Linked DNA regions of Tamandua tetradactyla. The protein of the gene in region 3 interacts with the protein of the main gene of each other region in a pairwise test. Links are inferred from orthologs where the notes say so. Each region holds a gene or a part of one and is shown on either strand. Other genes may lie near its edges.

Region 1 (8,146 bases), on a different chromosome or scaffold from region 3:
TATAGCTGTTTCTTTTAGGACATGTCCTTGGGACATAAACTGGAAAGTCTACTTTCTAATTGTATAACCTCAAGTCTTTGGTCACAGTAAATGTAGTTTCTTTAGTGTGATATATAGTTCCTTGAAGTTCTCATGTTCCCTGCAGGAATAATGGACCAATCCACAATTGCTTAACCCTTTGCTGCCAAATGGTGTTCAAATATAGATCAAAGTTTCATTTTAAAGAATCTACAAGTTTCACTGTAAAAGCATGTTAAAAAATTTTATTAAAAAAACTTTGTGGTGATTATACAAATATTGAGTATAGAAAAGAGTACATCTCGAGATCAAATATTTTGAAAAGGAAAGGTAGAAATTGGTCTGCAGCATCAGAGAGAAGAATCCACCAGAGTCTGAGATATATGCTGCAGAGCATCTAGTCTTAAAACCTGTCCATGTGAACTGAAATTGCAGAAACCAGAAGCAACTGCAACTCTGAAACAAAAATTGCTATATAGCTTTTATGCTAATTGAATCAAATACCCAGAGCCATTACACTATTGCAACACAATGACAAACTGAGGGGTTCAAAAATTAGCCTCATACCTTAAAGAATAGCATTTTCCACTCATCTCCACCACTGGCTGATTCAGTATATCTGGTGTGGGAACCAGGATTCTTATTTTCTCAAGTGTCCCAAGCGATTTCTTAAGATGTTTGGAAAACACTGATATGGGTTACTGAAATGAATGGTAGTAATGCCTGTATAAGGATGCCCAAATTGAATTAAATACAGTCCCTTTTAAGACCCTGTGCTACTCATTTAAATTGTACCATATGCTTTAATGAAAGGAAGATGTTTAAATTTATTTGATGCTAAGCAGCAAAAAGAAATAGACGCTTTTGGGAAAAATCCTTCTCTAGGGACTAAACAAATAGAAATAATTTTAAATGGTAGTGAAGTAATAGGATAGGTTTACTAAATTCAAAAGACATTTGAAAAACAATATTTCTCCCCCATTTTAAAGTATCAAATTGAATTATTTACTTAACATTTTAAATTCATTAGTGATAAAATTAGGGGAAACTGTTTAAAAAATGAGGCCTGAAATTTTAAATGTTAATTTTTCTTTAAAAATTTTTGCTTTTATTAAATTGATATATATTCACCAAAAAATCCAAACAATATACAAAAGTACAAAAAATTTAAAAACTATTCAATATTTTATAATCTTAACATTTTGATAAACATCCTTTTAGGTAGCACGATGAAAAATAGATATATGTATTCAATTTTACATAAATGGAATCATACCATGTTTGCTGTTCCTGAACCTGTTTTCAAAAGATGCAGTGTAAATTTCATCTTTCAATTTCTCTAAAGAAAGTGCTACATTAAAATTTGTAATGGCTCTCTGGCATTTCATTGCACATACCTACTAACCTACTACAGTTTACTTAGCACCTCAGTTTCTTCAGCTGTAACATAGTGTAAAGACGGCATTATAACTCAGGTAAAACATTTACAAAAGGCCCAGCACATAATAAACAATAAGTGTTAGTTACTATTATTATACTTTTTTTCCCCAATATTTCATTGTTAAAAGCAATACTGTGACAAATATCCTTTACTTACATATTTTCTGCCTGCTAGGTCAAAAGGTATATTTTCCATAATTTCTTAAAGAAATAGCCTAACTCTATATATGATCATTACTTTAGTCTTTTGTAAAACAGTTAGCAGTGCAAAGTGATTGACTGAAGTGAATCGTAGCACGACAAAGACTAATCTTTATCAATAACAGATCTATAAAACTATTCTTCCAGTTAGATATACAAACTATTTCTATGAAGCCTAAAAGTAATATTTTAGGTCATTTGTGAATAAGGAGTTTATATTGCTTCGATTTTGCATTTCTAGCTTAACGGAAAACTTAATGCGTGAATTATTAAAGTGATATGATCTTTTAAGATGCTCCAGGTGCTGAATTACATTATTATCATGATGGGGACCAAAAAACTTGTGGGATTAGTATTATCAGACTAATAACCAGATTCCCTGCCCAAGCTGATCTTGCCCCAGCGATATTACCATGCTTGAACTGCCTTTTTAATACAGATCCTTTTTTGAGTGTGAATTTTTTGGTCTGGTCTAAAAAGGCAAGAGAACACCAGCCTGAGGCGTATCTATGTTGGTTGGGAAACAAAAGCATTCATTGGTGAAAGATTCTAAAGGGACAATGGAGAGACTGAGACTCTGTTCTTGGCTGACCCACTGAATCTGTCTTTGTCGCTAAATAAGGCACAAATAAATCCCAGGTCCAAGTCTCTTCCATAGAGGGGGCGCCTCCCAGCAAAAGTTCCCAAGCCTACTGCCCAATTCTGCACCTGGCCCTTGATTTGCTAAATGCATGGGCACTCATTCCCAAAGTACCTTAGAATGTCTCGACTGCATGCTCATTGAGAGAAGAAGCATGAGAGGTAGGTGAGAGAGTGGTGTTTTATCAGCAGTGACTTAAAATACAGGTAAAACAAGGTGAAGAGCTGGCATCCAAGAAAATAACTCAATGGTGCAAGTCATAGACCCATCTTTTTTCTTCCTTTTCCTATGGAGGCCATAATCTGCCAGAATTTTTCTGTTTTGTTTTGTTTTTAAATTTCAGTTCCTTATTCATGATGCTATAAAGAAAATAATGGGTGATCAAACTTCACTACGAAGTAGCTAAATTACACAAAAAGAAGCATAAATGTGACCAAATTGTGTTGAAAGGATTTCATGTCTTACTGATAGAATTTTCTTTTCTTTCTCTCTCAATTTTTTTTTTTTTACCCTTCCCTCTTCCTAACATAAAATGTAAATAATCATTGGAGGATGTATGGTCTGCTTGAAATAGGGGACATTTATTTATGAAAAGAATGTTATTTAACGACTTGTCATCCAAGAAGAAAGCAGAAGCTAGTAACTTAAAAAATACAAAAATATATATATTATTGGGATGGGGTGGGGAAACCCTTTGGAAAATTAATCTAAGATTTTTTAAAACTTTAAAAATTTTATATATACACACAAACATGTGTGAGAGAATAGTATAATGATGGCTCATGAACCTATCACCCAGCTTAATAATTATTGACATTTTGTTGATTGTTTCTTTCTCCCTACTTTTTTCCTTATTTTAAAGCAAGTCGCAGAAATTATTTCACTTATAATACTCATGAGTGTAAAAAAAGTTTTAAATGTATAATATTGTGAAATTATTACACCTAACAAAATAAAATTAATAATTTATTAATGTAGGATACAGTTCTGTCAGGCCAGACTTTTCTGTGCCCTGACCATACAGTTAATTATGTGGCTGGCTGTGGACCTAATGGTAAAATGGGGGTTCAAGGATAGGTACTGCCTACTTACTAGCTCTGTGACTCAGGCAGGTCCCATTAGTGCTGTAAAACGAGGGACTAGATTGGATGGCATTTAAGCTTCTTCCTAGCTTGATGATTCTGCCAAAATACAGATGATTAAAAAAAATTAACGGCAGACAATATCATCAGAATATGTGATGCAAGGGACGTTATGTTAAGGAAAAATGGCGTTATACTTAGATCTAGTTTTGCTTGTTCACACTAACGATTTGAAGCCATTTGTTGATTCCTTCTGATAATCGCGTTCCATAATTGTGGAAGTGAAAAGCATAATTTAAGAACTCGAGAAAGAAAAAGTGAAATCATAGGCACTCACCTAACCTGATACTCATTCTAACGTGAGGAAAAAAATCCATTAGTAAACCACTGAGGAGTGAATGTTACCTCCTGGTGAATTACCCCCTTCCTAACATGAAATGTTAATTTGTATTATTGGATGTATATTCTGTTTGGACTAGGAGAAATATATTTATGAGGAAGTTATTATTTAATAGTTTGTTATTCAAGAAGAAAGCTGAAGTACGGTAACTAAAAAGGAAAAAAAAAAATCCAAACCCAAATGCCTCGCACGTTAAGAACTATACTAGTTGGCCCTCAAATCTTGGTTTGGGGGACGTTTCCAAGAGTTTTTTTTAAGAGAAGAGTGACCACACCCCTGGTGCTCCCTTTCAAGCATTACCCTTCCTACCCAAAGGTAATTTAGTAATTTCCATTCTTCCCCCATCCCCCCTCCGCCACCTTTTGTGGGATTAATTCGCATTTCATGAGCAATACAAGGGCCCTTCCTATTAATGGGATGAGCTTTACATTTGCGATGCTCAGTGAGAAAAGACAAGATGGTCTCTCTTCAAATACTCCTCAGATTGCTGGGGGAGGGGGAGTGTGAGCAAAAGCCACCAGACTTGATGCCTAAAGATAATATTTGTAATGGCTAATCCGGATAAATCGAAGTAGGAAAAGCAATGGTTGTTAGAAAGGTATTTGTTGGAAAATAATATATGATAAAAGAAAAAAAGGAAGTGTAATCTAACTTTATTTACTTGAATTATACTTCAGTTTGTCTTCTAACAGCATGAAGGTAAGAGGGGGGTCCCAGCAGCAAAGACAACTTTCCAACCCAGTGCACCGGGCGCGCTGAGCCCTGCAGAACCTGCTGCCATCTGCCCGGGCCTTCTGCAAGATGGTTCCTATACGATGACCACACCGAGGAATCAACTGGGTGTCATGACGTGTCCAGAGACTGCGGGTGTACCTCCGCCCTCTAGAACACGGCGCTGGGCTGGCCCAGATGAGCGGCCCCAGCTTTGATGTTTTTCGTTCTCTGGACCCCAGACTGCCTTTGCCTTCATCCGTTCTCTTCCACGCCCGTTTCTTTTTTCCCCTCCGAAGCAGAGCGAAAGAAAACACAAAGTGGGTTCATCTCCCTCCTTTCCCACCCAACTGGTGCGCACCGGGCGGGCCGGGAAGCTGCGGGGACGCGCGTCCGACCTGCTCCCGCCGCCCGCGCGTCGGCATTCCGGGCGGGCGAGGCCTGCAGCCTTCCAGCTCTCGCCGAAAGCCGGATCCAGTTCGCAGGTCTAGCGGGATGCAGGGGTCCTGCGGGCGGAAGTGAGAAGGGAGGCGTGGGAGGAGGCTGCAGGCTGGGGGTTGGGATACCCTCCCCGACTGACGCTGTCGGGAGAGTCCAAGCAGGCACCGCGGCCGCCTCCCGACGTCGGCGCGCGCGAGCTGGGCCTTTTTTGGCGTGGAGGGAGACGAGAAGGGCCGAGCCGCAGCCATCGGGACAGGAGGAGGGGCTGCTTCGGAGGCTCCGCCGAGACCCAAATAGGCCGGGCGAACGCGGGAGCGGGCGGCCCTTCGCCTGCCTCCTCCTCCCGGACCCCATCCCTCGGTGAGCCCAACCCGGAACCCGGAGAGCGCGCGGGGGCGGGGAAGACAGCGCGCAGATCTGGCGGGAACCCAGTCAGCCCGCAGCCCCCCAGTCATGTCGGCGGAGGAAATGGTGCAGATCCGCCTGGAGGACCGCTGCTACCCGGTGAGCAAGAGGAAGCTCATCGAGCAGAGCGACTACTTCCGCGCCCTGTACCGCTCCGGCATGCGCGAGGCCCTGAGCCAGGAGGCCGGCGGCCCCGAGGTGCAGCAGTTGCGCGGCCTCAGCGCCCCAGGCCTGCGGCTGGTGCTGGACTTCATCAACGCCGGCGGCGCCCGCGAAGGCTGGCTCCTGAGCCCGCGGGGGGAGAAAGGCGGCGGGGTGGAGGAGGAGGAGGAGATGGACGAGGTGAGCCTGCTGTCGGAGCTGGTGGAAGCGGCCTCCTTCCTGCAGGTCACGTCCCTGCTGCAGCTGCTTCTGTCCCAGGTGCGGCTCAACAACTGCTTGGAGATGTATCGCCTGGCGCAGGTGTACGGGCTGCCTGACCTGCAGGAGGCCTGTCTGCGCTTCATGGTCGTCCACTTCCACGAGGTGCTGTGCAAGCCCCAGTTTCACCTCCTGGGGGCTCCTCCCCAAGCCCCAGGGGACGTCAGTCTGAAGCAAAGGCTGAGGGAGGCCCGGATGACTGGGACTGCGGTCCTCGTGGCCCTGGGAGACTTCTTGGGGGGACCCCTGGCCCCGCACCCCTACCAGGGGGAGCCCCCGTCCATGCTCAGGTACGAGGAGATGACTGAACGTTGGTTCCCGCTGGCCAACAACCTGCCTCCCGACCTGGTGAATGTCAGGGGTTACGGGTCGGCCATTCTGGACAACTACCTCTTTATAGTGGGCGGGTACAGGATCACCAGCCAGGAGATCTCTGCCGCGCACTCCTACAACCCCAGCACCAATGAGTGGCTCCAGGTGGCCTCCATGAATCAGAAGAGGTAAGCGCCCCAGTGCAGTGCTGCTGCTTTGCCACTCATTCATGTGTTCAATAACGCACTCCGCTAGTGTTTACAGAACAGTCACCGGAGGCTGTGCTGAGGTAGAAATGACATCTTCAGGAGTGTTGCTGGCCTCGATACTGGCAAAATTCCCAGTGAATTCAGAACTTACAAGAAGAGGCTCCAATGGGGTCAGCCAGCTCAATAAGTTTCCTTGTAGGTGTTGCGCCTTTAGGCAGAACGGCCTTCTTTGCCTCTATTCTAGGGAAAAAAAATGATGTGGTTTCCTAGAGTATACTTTCTAAGGCAACTGCTTTTTTTTTTGTTTTTTGTTTTACTTTTTAGGATCTAATTCTCATTATAATGACACACTAGGCAGTAGCCATTAATCTTGATATGGGGGATTTTTTATTTTTCGCAGTCAGTGGTTTGAAGTCCTACACTGGAGCACCAATCCAAGGTCAGGAGACAGATAATCATTAGAGTTTTATACATATTAATTATTTGGGCTTTCCTTTTATTATTTTTTATCCTCTCTTTTGCTTCTTCCTCTCAGGCAGCCATTGCCATTGACTCAAAGCTTGAGCCTTGCAGGAGCCACCTACATACAATATTGGAATGTTTCTATCCACCCCAACCTCCTCTTTTCCCATCCTGCATGTCCTTCCACCATGAACATGGTGACTTGAAGAGAGAAAAAGAAGAGGAGGAGCTTGAGGGGAGTAAAAGCAGGGAAGGACCAGCAAAAGAACAGAAACAATGAGCACAAAGAGCAGATAAAGGAAAAGATGGTAGGAAAGAGAGCTGGTAGAGCCCAGGATGGCTCAGCCATTCAGAAGTGGGAGAAGAAGCAATGCAACCCAAGCAAGGATAGGAATACCCTTTCTTTTGGTCCACGTGTTTCCATCTCAAGTCCATCATTGTCCCTACCCTGAAGTTTGAAGCATGGAGCTCAGTGACCTCATAGGCAGGCCAAGAAAGTCTTAGCAGGAATGAGGAGGACTGGCTTTATTCCTACTATAATATAAAATTCATTTTGCAAAGTCCTCCTTTTTTCTGATCATAATAGAAATTATTATGGAAAAATGGAAATGAATGAAGAAGTAGAAAGACTGTCACTCCTACTTCCTCCTCCTAGAGGTAATAGCTATCTACAGTTGGCATATGTACTCCCAATCCTTTTTAAATGCATTTTTTTACAGCATTGAGGTGATAACATATTTAAATTTTGATATCAGAAATATTATTTTTAAACAGAAATTCCAATTAGGGTGGAAGGCTCAGTAGCTTCTCTGTTCTCTCTAACTTTTCAGTTGAATCAGTTGGTTCTCAGCATGCCATCCCCAGCTCCACAATTCTAACAACACCATACAGAGTTCATTTCTTTTTTTTTTTTTAATCTTTACAAATCTATAGTAGTCTTTTATCCCCCCTCCCCAGGAATGACCTGTCTGTCTTTAAAAAAGAACAAAAAAAATCAAATAATGCATGCATATATGCTTTTTGGAAAAATGAAAATGAGATAGAAAACTATAGAGTAAAAAGTATAAGTGCATTTATAGACATTTGGTATATTTTTAAAATATATTCAAAAGCTGTAAATATATGTTTATATAAATAGATTATAAGTATGCTCATTGTGGTTAACAATGGGGAAATGTATGTGTATATACATGGATACTTGGGTGGTGTGTATATACCTTCTCCATAGTTTTTACTCTAAAATTAATTCTCATTATTATGGCACTTGATATTTCCACTTATATAGTGTATCTGAAAGATTTTTCTATGTCGACGAATGTAGATAGATCTCATACTTTTTAATGGCTGTATAGTATTCAAGCCTATGGATATACCTTAATGTGTTTAGCTATTCCCTTGTCGCTTC
Region 2 (7,858 bases), on a different chromosome or scaffold from region 3:
GAGACAGAGCACATGTCCTGCCACTTCTAGGATCACAGATTTCTGGGTGAGTTAACACATGAGCAACCTCTGAGAATGAATAAAGCACTGTATTGAGTATAAAATAACCAGCAAACATGCATTCAGCAGTTACTCCATGCCAAGGCCTTACAAAGATGAGCCCATTAAGTCCTCATGACCACTCTGTTACTAACTCCATCTTACCTATAAATAATAGGGTTACATAGTTTGCCCAACATCACTTAGTAAAAGGGGAGCCAGTTGGCCAACTCCAGGCCCAAACTCAGCCAGTGAGGACCAGCCAGCCTTCCAGTGCCCCTCTCTGTGACCCCCTGTGGCAGTCATTTCACGTGGGTCAGCCATTTGATTAGGAGTCACACCGAGACACTCTCAGGCTGCATTCAATACAGAAAGGGTATCCCAGAAATGCCTCTCAGTTTCCTGTACGTGCCCAGTAGCTTCCACTGGGCCTTCTGACCATTGAGTGGAACCCGGAAGAGTCCCAGGATGAGGCAGAAAATGGCCGAGACAGCAAAAGGCTCACTAGTTTCCGCACATCTAAAGGACACATCCCCCACCCGGAAAGAGACCTGAGGTGTTTGCAGGTCAAGCCGGCTGGACCAGCTGCCTGAACTCCCATGGGGAGACTCTCCTTCCATGGGCACCTAAGCCCAAAGGTCTTGGGATTCTTTTGCTTTTTATTTTATTAAAAGACAGGCAGCGTCAGTGGTCTAGCAGACACTTCCCCATGAGATAGTGTCACCCCAGTGAGAGGTCTTCCAAACTAGGTGGGTCCCCAAGCACCCAGAGCACAGTAGGGACTTCATAACTTTCCGTTGATTTTTCAGTGTCCTCTGATCAAAGGACACTGGTTACTCAGGGAAGAAATAAGCCGGGAGATCCCCAACTTCACCCCTGAAAGGCCACATGCCCTCAGCCTAAGGAAGAGTTAACTTTCGGCCATGGGAGCCGGAATCCTGCCCGCAGGGGCTGTCCAGCCAATGACACTCGATGCTGATGATGTCATGCTCTTCCAGAGCCTTCTATTGGGGACTGGACAGCGAATCCTGCCGAGGTTCAGGCAGAGGAGCTGAGGCTGGGTGGGGGCAGGGGGAGGAGGGGAGGAAAGGGAAAGGAAAGGAAAGCAGAGCAATGCAGAGCTGCTTCTGCTCATCCCTCTCTCCACTCCCCCTGCGCCTTCCAGCAAAAGGTACCCCTGGGGACCGTCCTGCACTCAGACTAGCCAGGCAGAGCAGCTTTGGTCCAAGGGAGGGGTCTGGGAGCTCCCAGCTCCCAATCTGAGAAAACAGACATCCAAGCAGGCACACAGGGAGCAAGGTGCCTGGGGCACGGGGACACATGCCTGCTGGCCACCATGTAGTGTGGGCACACGCACACACGTGCATACGCGTTGCACCCCCCAGACACAGACAGCAACAGCTTCTTTGGCAGAACCTCCCTCCCCCACCTGACTCTCCACTGCCTCACCTGCCCGAAGCCTGCAGGTCTCTTTCCGAGCCGCTGCCCCTAGCTGCCCCGTCCACTCCGCTGGGCTCCCTGTGGGAGGGGAGAACATGAAGGAAGAGCTGTAGGCGGTGTCCAGACCGTCCTCCTGCTCCTCGGGGCCTGGCCACATGGAGACCACAGCTTCGTACCCTGGAAGAGCCCCAAATGCCCCTGCTCCGAGAGTGAGCCTCTTGGGGACTTGGTACACATGCCCTCCCGACCTCCCCCCAGAGGCCCAGAAGCTCCTCCCCTGCCCCAGCCCAGGGCCCCTGCCAGGCTCTCACGGTTGGACCCGGTTGGCAGACCAGCGACGCCAGAGCATGGCCAAGGTGCTGAGCAGAAAGAGGGTGGTGCACATGGCCCTTCGCCCCACCCCCTGCCCAGAACCTCGTCTGGAGAAGAAGGCGAGGGCTAGGGGCCCAAATGGCCCCCGCCACCTCTCACCAGCATTCTGTCCTGAGGTTCCTGCTGGTGACGGATTAGGAGGCTCAAGCTGATTAGTGGGGTCACAGCAGACCCGCCCTTGTGAAGACTGATTAACCTCACCAGGCCCAGGCTGTCTCGTCCAAGGCCAGGTAAATCAACCTCGGCACTGAGCACCGATTCTGAATGCAAATATGAATAAGACCTGGGCCTTAGAGTCTAGACAAATGAAACAAATGCCTGCAATAGGGTGGCTTAGCTGGAGAGCATGTTGGGATTTGCAAGCATCAGGAAAAGATTTGAAGAAGAACTAGAGGCCCCTGAATTTGCAGGTGAGCACGGAAGGATGGTCCTGAGAGAGCGATCAAAGAATCTGCAAGAGCCAGAGATGGGCACGAGCTCGCCGTGTTCCAGCCGCTGGGCGTTGGGTGGCGGGGGAGTGGTAATGTCGCAGTGTGGGGCGCCAGGAGGGCCGGAGAACAGAGGAGCACAATGAGAACCTGAAGTCAGAAGAGGAGAAAGCAAAGAGCGAAGGGCCCACGATGTCTGGCTTGGGGGGCATCCATTTTAACCTCTGGATAGTCCATTTCAAAGCTTTTCTGATCATATACTTCTCATTCAAAGGCAGAACGTAACTGTGCACCCATAACGTGACACTTATAAATCAGATAATCTAGTGAAGTTCTGATCCACGCCACCACATGGGTGAACCTTGAATATGTCATTTTGAGTGAAATAAGCCACATACACACAAGAGGACAAATATCATGATTTCATTTATATGAAATATCTAGAATAAGCAAATTCATAGAAACAGAAAGATTAGCAATTACCAAGGGCCAGGGGAGAGGGCAGGAGAAGTTTTTACTTAATGGATGTTTGGGGTGAGGGAAAAGTTAATGGGTGGCGGTGACAGTAACACAACATCATGAATGTAATTAACACCATTAAAATGTACACTTGAAACTGGGTATAACAGGAAATGTTATGTTGTATAGATGTTACCATAATAAATTTTTTAAATAATATATACTCTACCAGTCTGCAAATACATCATTGCATCATAAAATATACACACAGTTTGTAACGGATGAGATAAAAATAGAGGGAAAGACTTCTACTTTCTTTCCACATCCCAGTGGAACTTCTTGGGCAGCCAGTTTAGAGACCAGTACACCTGCTTTAGGAAACCCTCAAAGGAGCTCAGCTGGCATCTGGGCATAACGTGGAGATTAGGCCTCAAAGGGACAGAAGGCTGGCAGGGCACAGAGGACAGGGCAAGGGTTTGCAAGTGGCGAATTTGAGAGTGATGTTAGAAGCCGAGCACACCCTCTCCTGCACCCACCTCCAGGGCTCCTCGGAAGAAGGCATTTGGGGAGGCTGTGGCAGAGGCCAACCAGCCAGGATTCCCACCAAGTTACTGGAACCCTGAGCTCCAGGAAGGGCCTGAGCCAGGGCAGGGCTAGGCAGGCCCCTGCTGCTTCTGTCAGCTCTCTACCTTGAACTACGATTTTTCAAAATAAAAACATAAAGCAAGCTGCAGAGGAGAGCCCCATTTGCAGTGGTTAGGCAGCGGAACACAAAGCCTTGAGAACAAAGGTCACCAGGGATCCTTAGGGAGAGAGTAGTAGAAACATCCCATATGTGCTGTGTCATCAGTTTGACACCGCAGGGGTGTCTGGACTCTGGCCAGTAGTGGGGTCCCCCTGGCTCTCAGAGGTCCATGCGCACCTCTAGCCGGGTCTCAACCACACCTCAGCCGTCTTGCTTCGTGGTAGCTGAGAAGCCTCCGGCACCCTGGGCCTTCCCCCAGGTTCCTTGACCCCGGGCTCCTCCTCTGTACCGCACCAGCCGCCTCTCTGGACTTTTCCCGCGTCGGGGCCAGAATTCGAGGTAGCGCCTCTATCTGGCCTGCTTGTGTCATCAATAAGACACCCAGAGGCTTCTTCCCAGCGTGTGCGCCCCGAGGCCGCGGGTCTCTGGCGCCCGAGGTTGGAGGTGTGCCGACGTTCGGACCGACGCACCCCATTCCCGCAGCGGGAGGCGGGCAGGGAGAAGCACCAAGTTCTAGATCCTGCAGATCCCGGGGTCTGGAATTCCGGGAGGTGCCGGGAGAGGCCGCGAGCTAGCGGGACCCCAGCTGGGACCGCGGCGGCTGGGGCTTGCGTTCGCCCCCTCGGGCCGCAGTCGCCCGGGAGCGTCTGACTTTGAATCGGTTCCCCGAGGGGGGAAGGGGGCACACACGCACACGCCCCGAGGCGCACGCAGCGGGGGCCCGCGCCGATCGCCCCCAGACCCGCCGACAGCGCCGCCCCGCGCCGCGTGACCGCCGGCTGCTCGCCGAGACACCCCCCCCCCCCCCCCCACGGCGGGCCGGCCACACCCACCCGGCCCGGCCCCGCCCGGCGCCCCCACCCCGCCCAGCCGTCACCTTGCCGGAACTGGCTCACCGACGCGGGGCTGGGGTTTGGGGCGTATTTGTTTTTTCAAACATTTTTCCAGCAGACCACATCCCCGCCCCCCGTCCGCGTCCCCCGCCCCCCGCACATATACCCTGCACACACACACACACACGCGCGCGCACACACACACATACACACACACACGCGCGCACACACGCCCGGCGCGCAGAGGCACGGACACACGCTCCCTCCCTCCGGCGCGCTCTCCCCCGGCCCGCCCGCCCGCCGCGCAAGCAGCCGGCCCCGGCTCCTCGCGCCCCGCCGCCGCCGAGCGAAGCCGGGCCGGGCTCGGAGCTTCTCATGGAGAAAGTGCCGGGCGAGATGGAGCCGGAGCGCAGGGAGCGCAGCGAGGAGCTGTCCGAGGCGGAGAGGAAGGCGGTGCAGGCGACGTGGGCCCGGCTCTATGCCAACTGCGAGGACGTAGGGGTGGCCATCCTGGTGAGGTAGGTGTCGCCCCGGCCGGGCCCGGGGGAGGGAGGGCGGCAGCGGCTCCGGGCAGGGGCGGGCTCGGCCCGGGTCCGAGCTCCGGCGCCGCCTCCCCAGCTCGGACGGGGGCCGGGCCAGGGCCGGCCGGGGTGCAGGCAGCGGGGGGCGCCGGCCGAGGGCGGACGGTGAAGCCCTGGAGCCCTTCCCGGAGCCGGGGCGCGGGGACCAGCCGCAGAGGCGAGGCAGCCGCCGACCCCCTTCTCGCCCGGGCCCCAAACTCCTCCCTGGGCCCGAGACCCCTCTCCCACCCACACTCAGCCCGCGCCCGCCAAGCTGTTACAGACACACATTTTATCATCCCTTCCACCTCAATCGCCCCATTCTAGAGATGGGAAGACTGAGGCTCAGCCAGGGAGGCAGCAAAGAGGGGCAACTGCCTCTCTCCAGCTCAGCCCCTTTCCCTCTTCAAAGCCTTAGGGAAGGCAAAGATCCGGAACAGAGGCCAGGAGAAGTACACGGATGAGGACCAGTTCTCCCAACTGTTCCCTTTCTGCCCAAAGGGAGTGGGCCAGCAAGGAGCTCCCAGGCCCTGCAGGGCAGAGAAGGAGCAACCAGTGCCCTAGACCCAGCCCCTGCAGAGTTTGGTGGAGGGAAAGGGAGAAGCTTCAGGAGACAGGGCCCCACCTGGAAACACCCTCCCTGGGGGCTGTGGAAGTGCTGTGTCTTGGACTCAGGGGTCACTCCCCACAAAGACCCCCAAACACGGAGTGACTCCATCACTCACCCGCTTTCACTCCGGCGCACACGCCATTCCTAGGTTGAATGTCACTGAGCCTCACAGTGAATGACTGTAGGTACAAATCTATGTCCTGTTCCCACATGCGCCAGTCCCCGGGGGTGCAGGGGGAGAGACCCCGACCCAGCCTGCCCTCGAGCCCTTGTCCTTGGCAGAGAGAAGCTGTCAAATCTGGGACAGAGCAGGGCAGACTTATTATTTAAAGAAATGGGCAACTGCTTGCTTAAGGAAGAGACAGCTCACATGCATGCCTGTTTCCCCGACCTGGCCAGTCTGGCCCCTCTGTATGTCCCCCGACCCCCTACTCTCTCTCCCCTCTGCCTTCCCCTGATCCAAACTTGGGAGCTGATTTTGGAGGAAAAAGAGCAGGAAGCACTTCTGATGAGTTAGAGGAGGGTCCCTAAGGAAGGGGCCGCTATTTAGGGAGCTCATGCCAGACTCCCGGAAATGCAGCCAGGGGCTGGGGGAGGGTGCAAGGGGGATTCAGACCCTGGAGTCTTCTGACACTCAGAGCAGCATATCCGACACTCAGAGCAGCCAATCTGTGGTGCCAGCACCCATGCAGCACCCAGTAGGACGGCAGCCCCAGTGGTGGGTGTAGGCACCTGAGGCCCACCAGGCCCCGGGGTGCACCTGGAGCTGGAAACGAGGCAGGGTCCACAGAACAACAGATCAGAAGAACCTTGGAGAGCATTAGTCCCAACCCCTGTCATTTCCAGTGTAGCAGCGTGGCCAGGACCGTCTCCCGGGGCTCCCCAGAACCTCCCCAGGAGCGGGACAGGGGGGCCTGAGGGGAGCCGATGAGGGAACCAGACACTGAGGGCAGGGCTTGCTCTGGGCAGTTGGGGCTCTTGGCAAGATTGTCTTTCTCTCTCTAGACCCCCTTCTAGTTCCCTGGTCCTGACTCTCGGAGAGGGGGCCGGGCCTGGGCTGGGGGAGGTGTTTGCTAGTGAGCTCAGAGACAGCCCCCCGTTAATCTGAGAAGGCTGAGATAGCCGGGGTTTCTTAAATCATTACCTCCGGCCCGCTGATAAGCCCACCACCCAACCCCACCTCACTTGGCCATAGTTCTCTGCTGATTAGAGCCCTGCCCCACGGGACAACTCAGCCCAGAACCGTCCCTCTCGGCACCTCCCGCCAGCCCAGGCCCTATACCAGCCGCCCTTTCCTCCTGCTGCCCTCCTGGCTCTGCCCAGGCAGTTGGGACAGGCGGCATTAAGGGGTCTCCCAAAGGTCCCCGCGCAGATACCCTGCCCGTCGGTCCTGCCGCCCAAAGCAGGTATCCACAGGAAGAGGCCTCTTTGCGCCTGAGACGCTGGCCTCTGGCCTTCCCTCGCACCCCCTCCCTCCTCGCTGACCTGGGCCAGTGCCTCTGCCCTCAGCCATTGGGGCAAGGGGCAGGCCAGCGCCCCTCCACACCCCACCCTCCAGAGCTGAGCAGCCCGTTGGGGGTGGTGGTGGAGGAGCCTGGGTCCCAGCCCACCCCGCACCTCCACTCTGTGGGGAGGAGACCGCGGGAACCCCTGTGCTTTACGAAGGCTCCCCCCCTCCCGGTTGTAACTCTGGCACCTTCCCCCTCACTCTCAGACAAGCCTATTTCAAGCTCTCTTGGAAGCCCAGATGCCTCTGGGAGCTGAGAACTCCCCCAAGGCTGGCTGCTGAGGCTTCTCTCCTACCCTTGGCACAGCCCCGCTGGAAGGGTCAGAAGTAAACATGGGGGCACTGGGGAGAGAAACCAGGGTGAAGGAGAGCAGGGCAGGTGGCCACCAGGTCCTGGCCCAGAAGAGGCCCCTGTAGCTGGCTCTGGGGATGGAGGCAGGGGGCTGGCCTGGGTCTCCTGGGCATGGAACCAGGTGCACCAGTCTCCTAAGGCAGTTATAGGGAGGCTGTCAAAGCAGGGGCCACCTGGGCTCCTTCCTGCCACCTATTTCCTCCAGAAACCTTGGACATCAATTTCCTAATCCATAAAGTGGGGACAAAGCACCAACCTTGCAGCAGAAGACTGCAAGGAACAATGAGATCAAATAGGAAGTGTGCAAGAAATGTTCCCTCTTTTTTTCTCAACAGTAAAATAGATCTAATACCTGCTAAACTGTGGCAATTAAATGAAGTAACACGTGGAGGTGCTTTACAAAAAATTGTAATGCAGCAGACACATATAATCCATCTTTTTTTATAGCAACTGTAAACCCCCAAAGTCTGAAGTCCAGATAGAGTTTTTCACGTTTGTCCCTCATTGCAATGT
Region 3 (6,664 bases):
ATTTATTAAATTTGTAAATGTTCTTCTCACAAATTATAAGTGATATTCAGATATTCAGCAACAAGATGTACCTCCCACAGATCAGAGTAATTTCTATAAGGTGATCAAGGCACTGGAAAGGACCATAAGGCATGAAATCCTAACAGCAAACTTTCTTAAAAAAGCAATATGCTATCTATATCTGTATTTATATATATATCTATATACCTATCAGAAAGACAGAGAGACTTGGAAAGTATGCACTGTGAAGAGCCAAAAGTTATCAAGAGATTATATTATCATATATCACATAATTTTCAATAAGTAACATGCAAATTAAAATGCATCTTTTTTCATGATAAAATGTTAAAACTAATAATCTATAAAATAAAGCAATAAATAAATTCAATGCACCATGAAAACAGTCCCTTCAGGAAAATAGCAATCTTTTAAATGCACTTTCAAAGTAATTGGAAAACTGTCCTGACTAACTGAGCGTGCACTCATGCTGTGTGTGTGTGTGTATTTTGTCCATATTCTTGTCTCTTTATAACAAAGCATAGCCATCAGCTGAGTTCCCAGCAGGGTGGGACAAACTAAATTCTCAGGTCCCATGACTTTCTTCAATTATATGTCTGCATATTTATATATTTATTTAGTAGCTCCTTTTCTGGTATTTAAATTTCAAAGATGGGCAATAGCAAGCCTTTTCATACGAGAAAAGATCCAAATCTACTAATGAAAGCTAAATTGATTAATATAGCGTTTTAAAAAATACACATATTAAATAATTAGCTGCAAAAATAAATTCTACCCTTTCATGACAGTACTAGTACAATTTATTGTATTATTATAAAGCAGATGAAGGAACAGTAAGGAAATTTGTTGTTTAACCTAAGGATGCAACTTTCAAAGTTCTGCATCTTCCCTAAATCTCAATGAAAACCTCAAGTGATGATTTAACTATCTTAATAAATATTGGTTGCATTTTATTTTAAAAATAATATCCAGGCACATATTTAAAAGAAGGAAGAAACACAGCAGACTAATACATTTGCTTAACATGGTTTAATTATTTTACGTGTTGCATAATGAAATTTACACAGCTACTCTTATTTTTTTCACTAATAAGACCACAATTTTGCTTCGTAAAACTATAGTAGTTAAACTTCAACTGACTATACTAAGCAGAACCATCAGTTATCTGTTTCTGGTTTTGTTTTGCTGGATTAGGCTTTTATAAAGAAGCAAATTATGAAAGGTATTATTGTGGATTTATTCCAAAAAACAACTTTAGAGTTATTTACTTAACCAGAGTAAAATCAGTGCCATCTCTTTTATTTTCTGAGTATTTAGGCTATACAATGAGAACTGATTTTCTGAGTGATAGCTCTGAAGCTTTTCAGGAATCTCACTTATCAAAGAAAGATTCAATGATGTTCCTATATTGTCCTTACAAGAAAGAAAAATAAGAGACTGTATCTCACAAAGAACTCCTAAGAAACGTTCCAATAGCCTTCAGTTACCTAGATTAATACACTTCACTAATTCACATCACTCATTTCTCAGCAGCCCTTGCAATAGGGATTTCTGGTATAACAATATTTTCTGCTTAGGAATGTTTCCTTATATATATGTCCCCAGTAGTCTCCAAGTTTATTGTAGAACCGGAAGAAATGTTAAATTAAAAATTTGAGGGAAGAAAATTATATATATGGCTTCGGAATCACCAATAGTGATGAGTAAAATCAAAGAATAAAATTAGGTGTAAATAGAAGTACTAAGTCACCCCAGGAGGTTGTGTTTATCTTTTCAGATTCCAGGCTGTTTTGCAGCAGGAGGTTTAAGCACTCGAATGGCTGGACTAGAGGATGGAAAGGATCCCTGCCAATCCTGACATCTAAGATCTATGGAATGGTGACAGTAAATTGGCTAGACTTTGAGGCTTCTTACTTTCCATTTTGTGTTCTGAGTAACATGTAAAATAAGAAGTACATAAATGTAATATGACACCAAATGTGAAAAAATGCAGCAAGATAATAAAAATATTGCATAAAGTTTGTTACATTTCAAAGTAATGGTACTATGAAAACAAACAGATGCTAGATTCTTTTGTTGTGAACTAGAGCTCTTGCTTTACCAAAAAAATCTCATTCTATAAAAAATATTATCCACCGTCACACACACACGCACGCACAAACAGACACACATGCAGACACCCTATATTATCTCCCTAGCTATTAGGTTTTAAAAACAAACTGTCCAAAATTACTGGTGGTAGGGAGAAAGACACTGAATTCAAGCATCACTGGTTTTTAGTCTGTTCTTTAGCATATGACAATTCTCATGGGAACATTCATTATTGATCACTGACGAATTTATCAGGATGCCAAGAACCAGGGAATAAATCTAGTAACTTGATATTTTTGGGTCAAAGGGTCATTCACCTCTATAAATAGTGAAAAATAGCTCTAAATGATTCATAATTTTCTTCAGGAAAATTACAATGCTGAATTTTTCCCCTGACATTTTATAAAGTCCCTCATATCAAGAAGTGTTGCTTTTCTACATAATGTCTCCAAGTCAGGCCACACTCTCCTTGGCAGTTCCTTCATTTCTCTACCCCACCCACCCATGCATGGCTGACTCCTCAAATTTCTACGCCTAGCTCTTCCCAGATGACTTCCCTGCCCAACAACCCCCACCATCTCATTCATTTGCTCTCCAGATATTAATTTCCCCTCACTGTGCAAGCTTCTACTTTTGCGTTTTCACTCTTCCTTCTCCAAACCGTGTGTCTGTCTCCTCTTTTAGACTGGGAACTTCTTTAAGGACAGAGACAGCATTAAGCTTATTCATATCTGTACCTCCAGAACTTAGCACATTCTTCACACACACCGGGCACTCAGTCAACATCTCTAATATACATGAATACGAGTATAGAAGCATTATGGGGTAATGAGTGAGACACATTCTTACATCTGAGATGTCAAGTACAAGAGAAAAAGGAGAAAAAAAAATCTCAAGGCCGATGCGATGTCCTACTCTGATGGTGCAGGCTGACAAAACTGGGCGCAGGGAGGGGGAAGGAGGCACGGAATGATGACTATCTTTGGCTGCTATGTAGTTATAGCCAGGAAGATCCAGCTGGGGGTGAGTGGGCACAAGCTCTCTGCAGCACCAAGTGCTTGATGAAATGAAAAGGAAAAGCAACTGGCACTCAGCGATTGCTATCCAACACCATTTATCCTGAAGCCTCTCTTTACCCTTCACCTGTGCGCCTCCACTCTTGGGGAATTGGGGGAGGGGATTTGCATCCTAGGGTCAGAGATATGGGCAGAGTGGCATTCACAACACACTTCACTGCAGAATCAACGTTCAACTGGTCACCTTAAAGCCACTTCATCTGTTCAAAACAACAGCTTATTTTTAACCAGTCTCACATTTTAGAGACCTTCTGTGTATTCCACATACCCTGCTTCCTTTACACTCTCCGCAGCCACAATCCTGCCCATAAGAAGCTCCTTTTTCGCATCAGCTTCCACTTCGGACCATTGAGAAAGCCTCCTAACTGCTTCTAGGTTAACTCTACTCATCTGTTACAGGAAACCTCCTCCTTAAAACCACTAAACGAAAAAAATAAATCCATCATGAATATCTGCTTCAAATCTTTTCCATTTCCTTTCTTCCTCTTTTCCTCTCATTTTTCCTCCCATGGGGCAGAAGGATTCTCACTTATTGATAATATTTAAACTCACTGGATTCACATATAAGACTAAAAATTGGCTCCAACTAATGTTTCTCAGCTTTGTGTTCTGCCACTCAAATTCATGTACAAATTCCTGTTAGACTGAAAGTTTGCCTTCCTATGGCAATAACAGGTCTTGTCATGGATTCTTGCTTTTGCACATCCAATTCTTTTTGTTTGGTGTGACTCTGACCAATTTACACTTAGGAAATGCTCGTCATTGAATCTCCAGCTTGAATATCTCTTCTGGAGAGCAACTTGCTCTGCCCTATTAGTCCCTTTAGTACACTGAACATATCTTTGTTAAAGTACTTATCTCCAATATTGTGATATACCTATATACCCATCAATTCCACCCTGGAATGAGATCCTTAGGGGCAGGTGCCAAGGTTGACTTATCTTACAATACCAAGTACATATAGCATGATAACTGTACAAACATTCATTCTTTGGGGAATAAGTAAAAGTTCATAAAATACAGCTTTAAAATGAATAAGATGAATGTTAATATTTTGTTTAGGAAAAGCTGAAATCATATCAAAATAAAAAGATGTTAAATAGGCTTTTGGATTGGTCTTGTCACCTAATGGGTCAGAGTAAATTTGTTTCTATGGGAATAGACATTCTAAGTTCCAAAAGGCACACATACACATGAATTATGGAACCCAACATCTTGCTTCAAGACTCCATGGGCCCAAGCAACAGACAATGAAGCTGGAAGGGGGTGCCCAGGCTGGTGAGCAGCTCGGCCTCTCTGAGAGGTAAAGGAGCCTGAGCAACACGTGCCAAGTCTAAGAAACAGCCACGTCATCATCAGAAACCAGCTCCAGTCAGCCAGCGAACAATCTAATGCCCTCTGCCCATCTGGCCCTCTTGGGCCCATGCCATGCTGATCACCGTGTACTGCGTGCGGAGGAACCTCTCTGAGGTAACCTTCTCCCTTCAAGTCAGCCCTGACTTTGAGCTCCGCAACTTTCGGGTCCTCTGTGAGCTCGAGTCTGGCATTCCCGCTGAAGAGATCCAGATAATCTTTGCAGAGCGACTTCTTGCTGACGACCACTGTTCCCTGGGCTCATATGGCCTAAAAGACGGTGATGTTGTTGTTTTGCTTCAGAATGAGAATACGGGAACTCGATCCCCAGGAAGAACGTCAAACCTGCCTCGATTAGATTTCAGTGGCGTAGCTGTGCCTGGAACATCCAGCTCCCGCCAGCAGCACCATCAGCGATCACAAACAGCCCAGAACTCAAGCGGCATGGCCTCGGGAGAGACGATAGCTGCTGCTCAAGGTCTGGACAGCCCAGCCTTGATTCGAAGCATGCTGCTTTCCAATCCCCATGATCTGTCTCTGCTGAAGGAACGGAATCCCCCCTTGGCGGAAGCTCTGCTTAGCGGAAACCTTGAGACGTTTTCTCAGGTCCTGATGGAGCAGCAAAGGGAGAGGGCCCTGCGAGAGCAAGAGAGGCTTCGCCTCTATTCTGCTGACCCATTTGATCTGGAAGCTCAGGCAAAAATAGAAGAGGAAATCCGGCAGCAGAACATTGAGGAAAACATGAATATTGCGATGGAAGAGGCTCCCGAGAGTTTTGGCCAAGTGGCAATGCTCTATATTAACTGCAAAGTGAATGGACATCCTTTGAAGGCTTTTGTTGACTCAGGTGCCCAGATGACCATCATGAGCCAAACTTGTGCTGAGAGATGCAACATAATGAGGCTAGTGGACCGAAGATGGGCTGGGGTTGCTAAAGGAGTGGGCACGCAGAGAATTATTGGCAGAGTTCATCTAGCTCAGATTCAAATTGAAGGTGATTTCTTACAATGCTCTTTCTCTATACTTGAGGAGCAACCCATGGACATGCTTCTAGGGCTAGATATGCTCAAACGACATCAATGTTCCATCGACTTGAAGAAAAATGTGCTAGTGATTGGCACCACAGGTACACAGACTTATTTTCTTCCTGAGGGAGAGTTACCCCCGTGTGCCAAGCTGGTAAGTGCTACTGGGCAAGAGGAGTCTTCAGATAAGGAAAGAGCAGATGGTATTAAAAATTCAGTCATGGATTCAGGACGGAAAAAGCATTGAAGTAGGCTGTAAATATACTACCACCTTGAGGGAGCCTCAGGTCCCAGAAAATTATAAGAAATGAGCTCATGGCCATGTAATCATTAAAACATTGCTAACAACTAAACCTGGCCTTGGAACTAAATTCTGAGATCCCTAACTATGTAAATCGTGATTGCTTGATTTTGGCTCCTCTTCCATTTCCCCTATCCAGAGAGCGCTGAACCTCATCTTGGGAAGGCTCTCTCTGGAGGCTCCAGTTGATTTCCAGATAATGCATGAAAAGGAAAACCAGCCTCTTCCTTTTATAGACACCATCTTATCTGATTAAAGCTGTCCAAACCAGCTGCTATTTGGTGCTGCATTAATGGGGCAGAATTCCCTGGAAAAAGTCATTGCTACATGCCCTATAAGGCATCTACACACAACTATTTCAAAGCAGCACCAACACCTGTTTATATGTCAGAGTTATATGTCTCTTTGCACAGATTTTGTTTGCTCTGTGAAAGATATTAGAAATGATGGGTCAATTATACTTTTGAATTAATACTTATACACGTCTGTTTTGGGTAGCATAAGGGTCAATTTCCTCATATTTTACTTGTTCTCCTTCCCTGGAGTCCCTGTTACCACAGCATGTTCACTGCAACCTACCACTATAGGCTACTTTTTTTTTTTGCCATTTTTGAGAAAATGGGTTTTCCTTCTAGAATGTCCAGAAATAATTCTTTCTTTCCCCTGAATTCAAGGTAACTCTGGTTGTAAAATGAAGGCAATGAATTAGATCTTTAGATCTATTCTTTTTCTCCTCAAATGATGGTGCTTTAAGGGAACCTGCATTTGCACAGTGGTGGGAGCGGGAGGTAGGGGCTGGC

Evidence for each region. The genes of interacting proteins can lie anywhere in the genome.
Region 1: the proteins of DDI1 (region 3) and KLHL42 interact in binary tests that used the Homo sapiens proteins (3 or more experiments, as listed by UniProt). The two-hybrid records come from large-scale screens. The link is inferred for Tamandua tetradactyla from reciprocal best matches to the Homo sapiens genes DDI1 and KLHL42.
Region 2: the proteins of DDI1 (region 3) and CYGB interact in binary tests that used the Homo sapiens proteins (3 or more experiments, as listed by UniProt). The two-hybrid records come from large-scale screens. The link is inferred for Tamandua tetradactyla from reciprocal best matches to the Homo sapiens genes DDI1 and CYGB.

What each region holds. Positions count from the first base shown.
Region 1 is NC_135333.1:90,930,240-90,938,385, forward strand, and holds the start of KLHL42 (kelch-like protein 42), read left to right. Parts: upstream 1-4,902; 5' UTR 4,903-5,386; coding exon 5,387-6,258; intron 6,259-8,146. UniProt on the Homo sapiens protein: Substrate-specific adapter of a BCR (BTB-CUL3-RBX1) E3 ubiquitin-protein ligase complex required for mitotic progression and cytokinesis. The BCR(KLHL42) E3 ubiquitin ligase complex mediates the ubiquitination and subsequent degradation of KATNA1.
Region 2 is NC_135332.1:17,433,893-17,441,750, reverse strand, and holds the start of CYGB (cytoglobin), read left to right. Parts: upstream 1-4,614; 5' UTR 4,615-4,691; coding exon 4,692-4,834; intron 4,835-7,858. Other genes in the region: photoreceptor disk component PRCD, read right to left, coding at 1,489-1,557, 1,791-1,864. UniProt on the Homo sapiens protein: Probable multifunctional globin with a hexacoordinated heme iron required for the catalysis of various reactions depending on redox condition of the cell as well as oxygen availability.
Region 3 is NC_135334.1:37,958,480-37,965,143, reverse strand, and holds DDI1 (protein DDI1 homolog 1), read left to right. Parts: upstream 1-4,369; 5' UTR 4,370-4,613; coding exon 4,614-5,810; 3' UTR 5,811-6,134; downstream 6,135-6,664. UniProt on the Homo sapiens protein: Probable aspartic protease. Seems to act as a proteasomal shuttle which links the proteasome and replication fork proteins like RTF2. Required, with DDI2, for cellular survival following replication stress.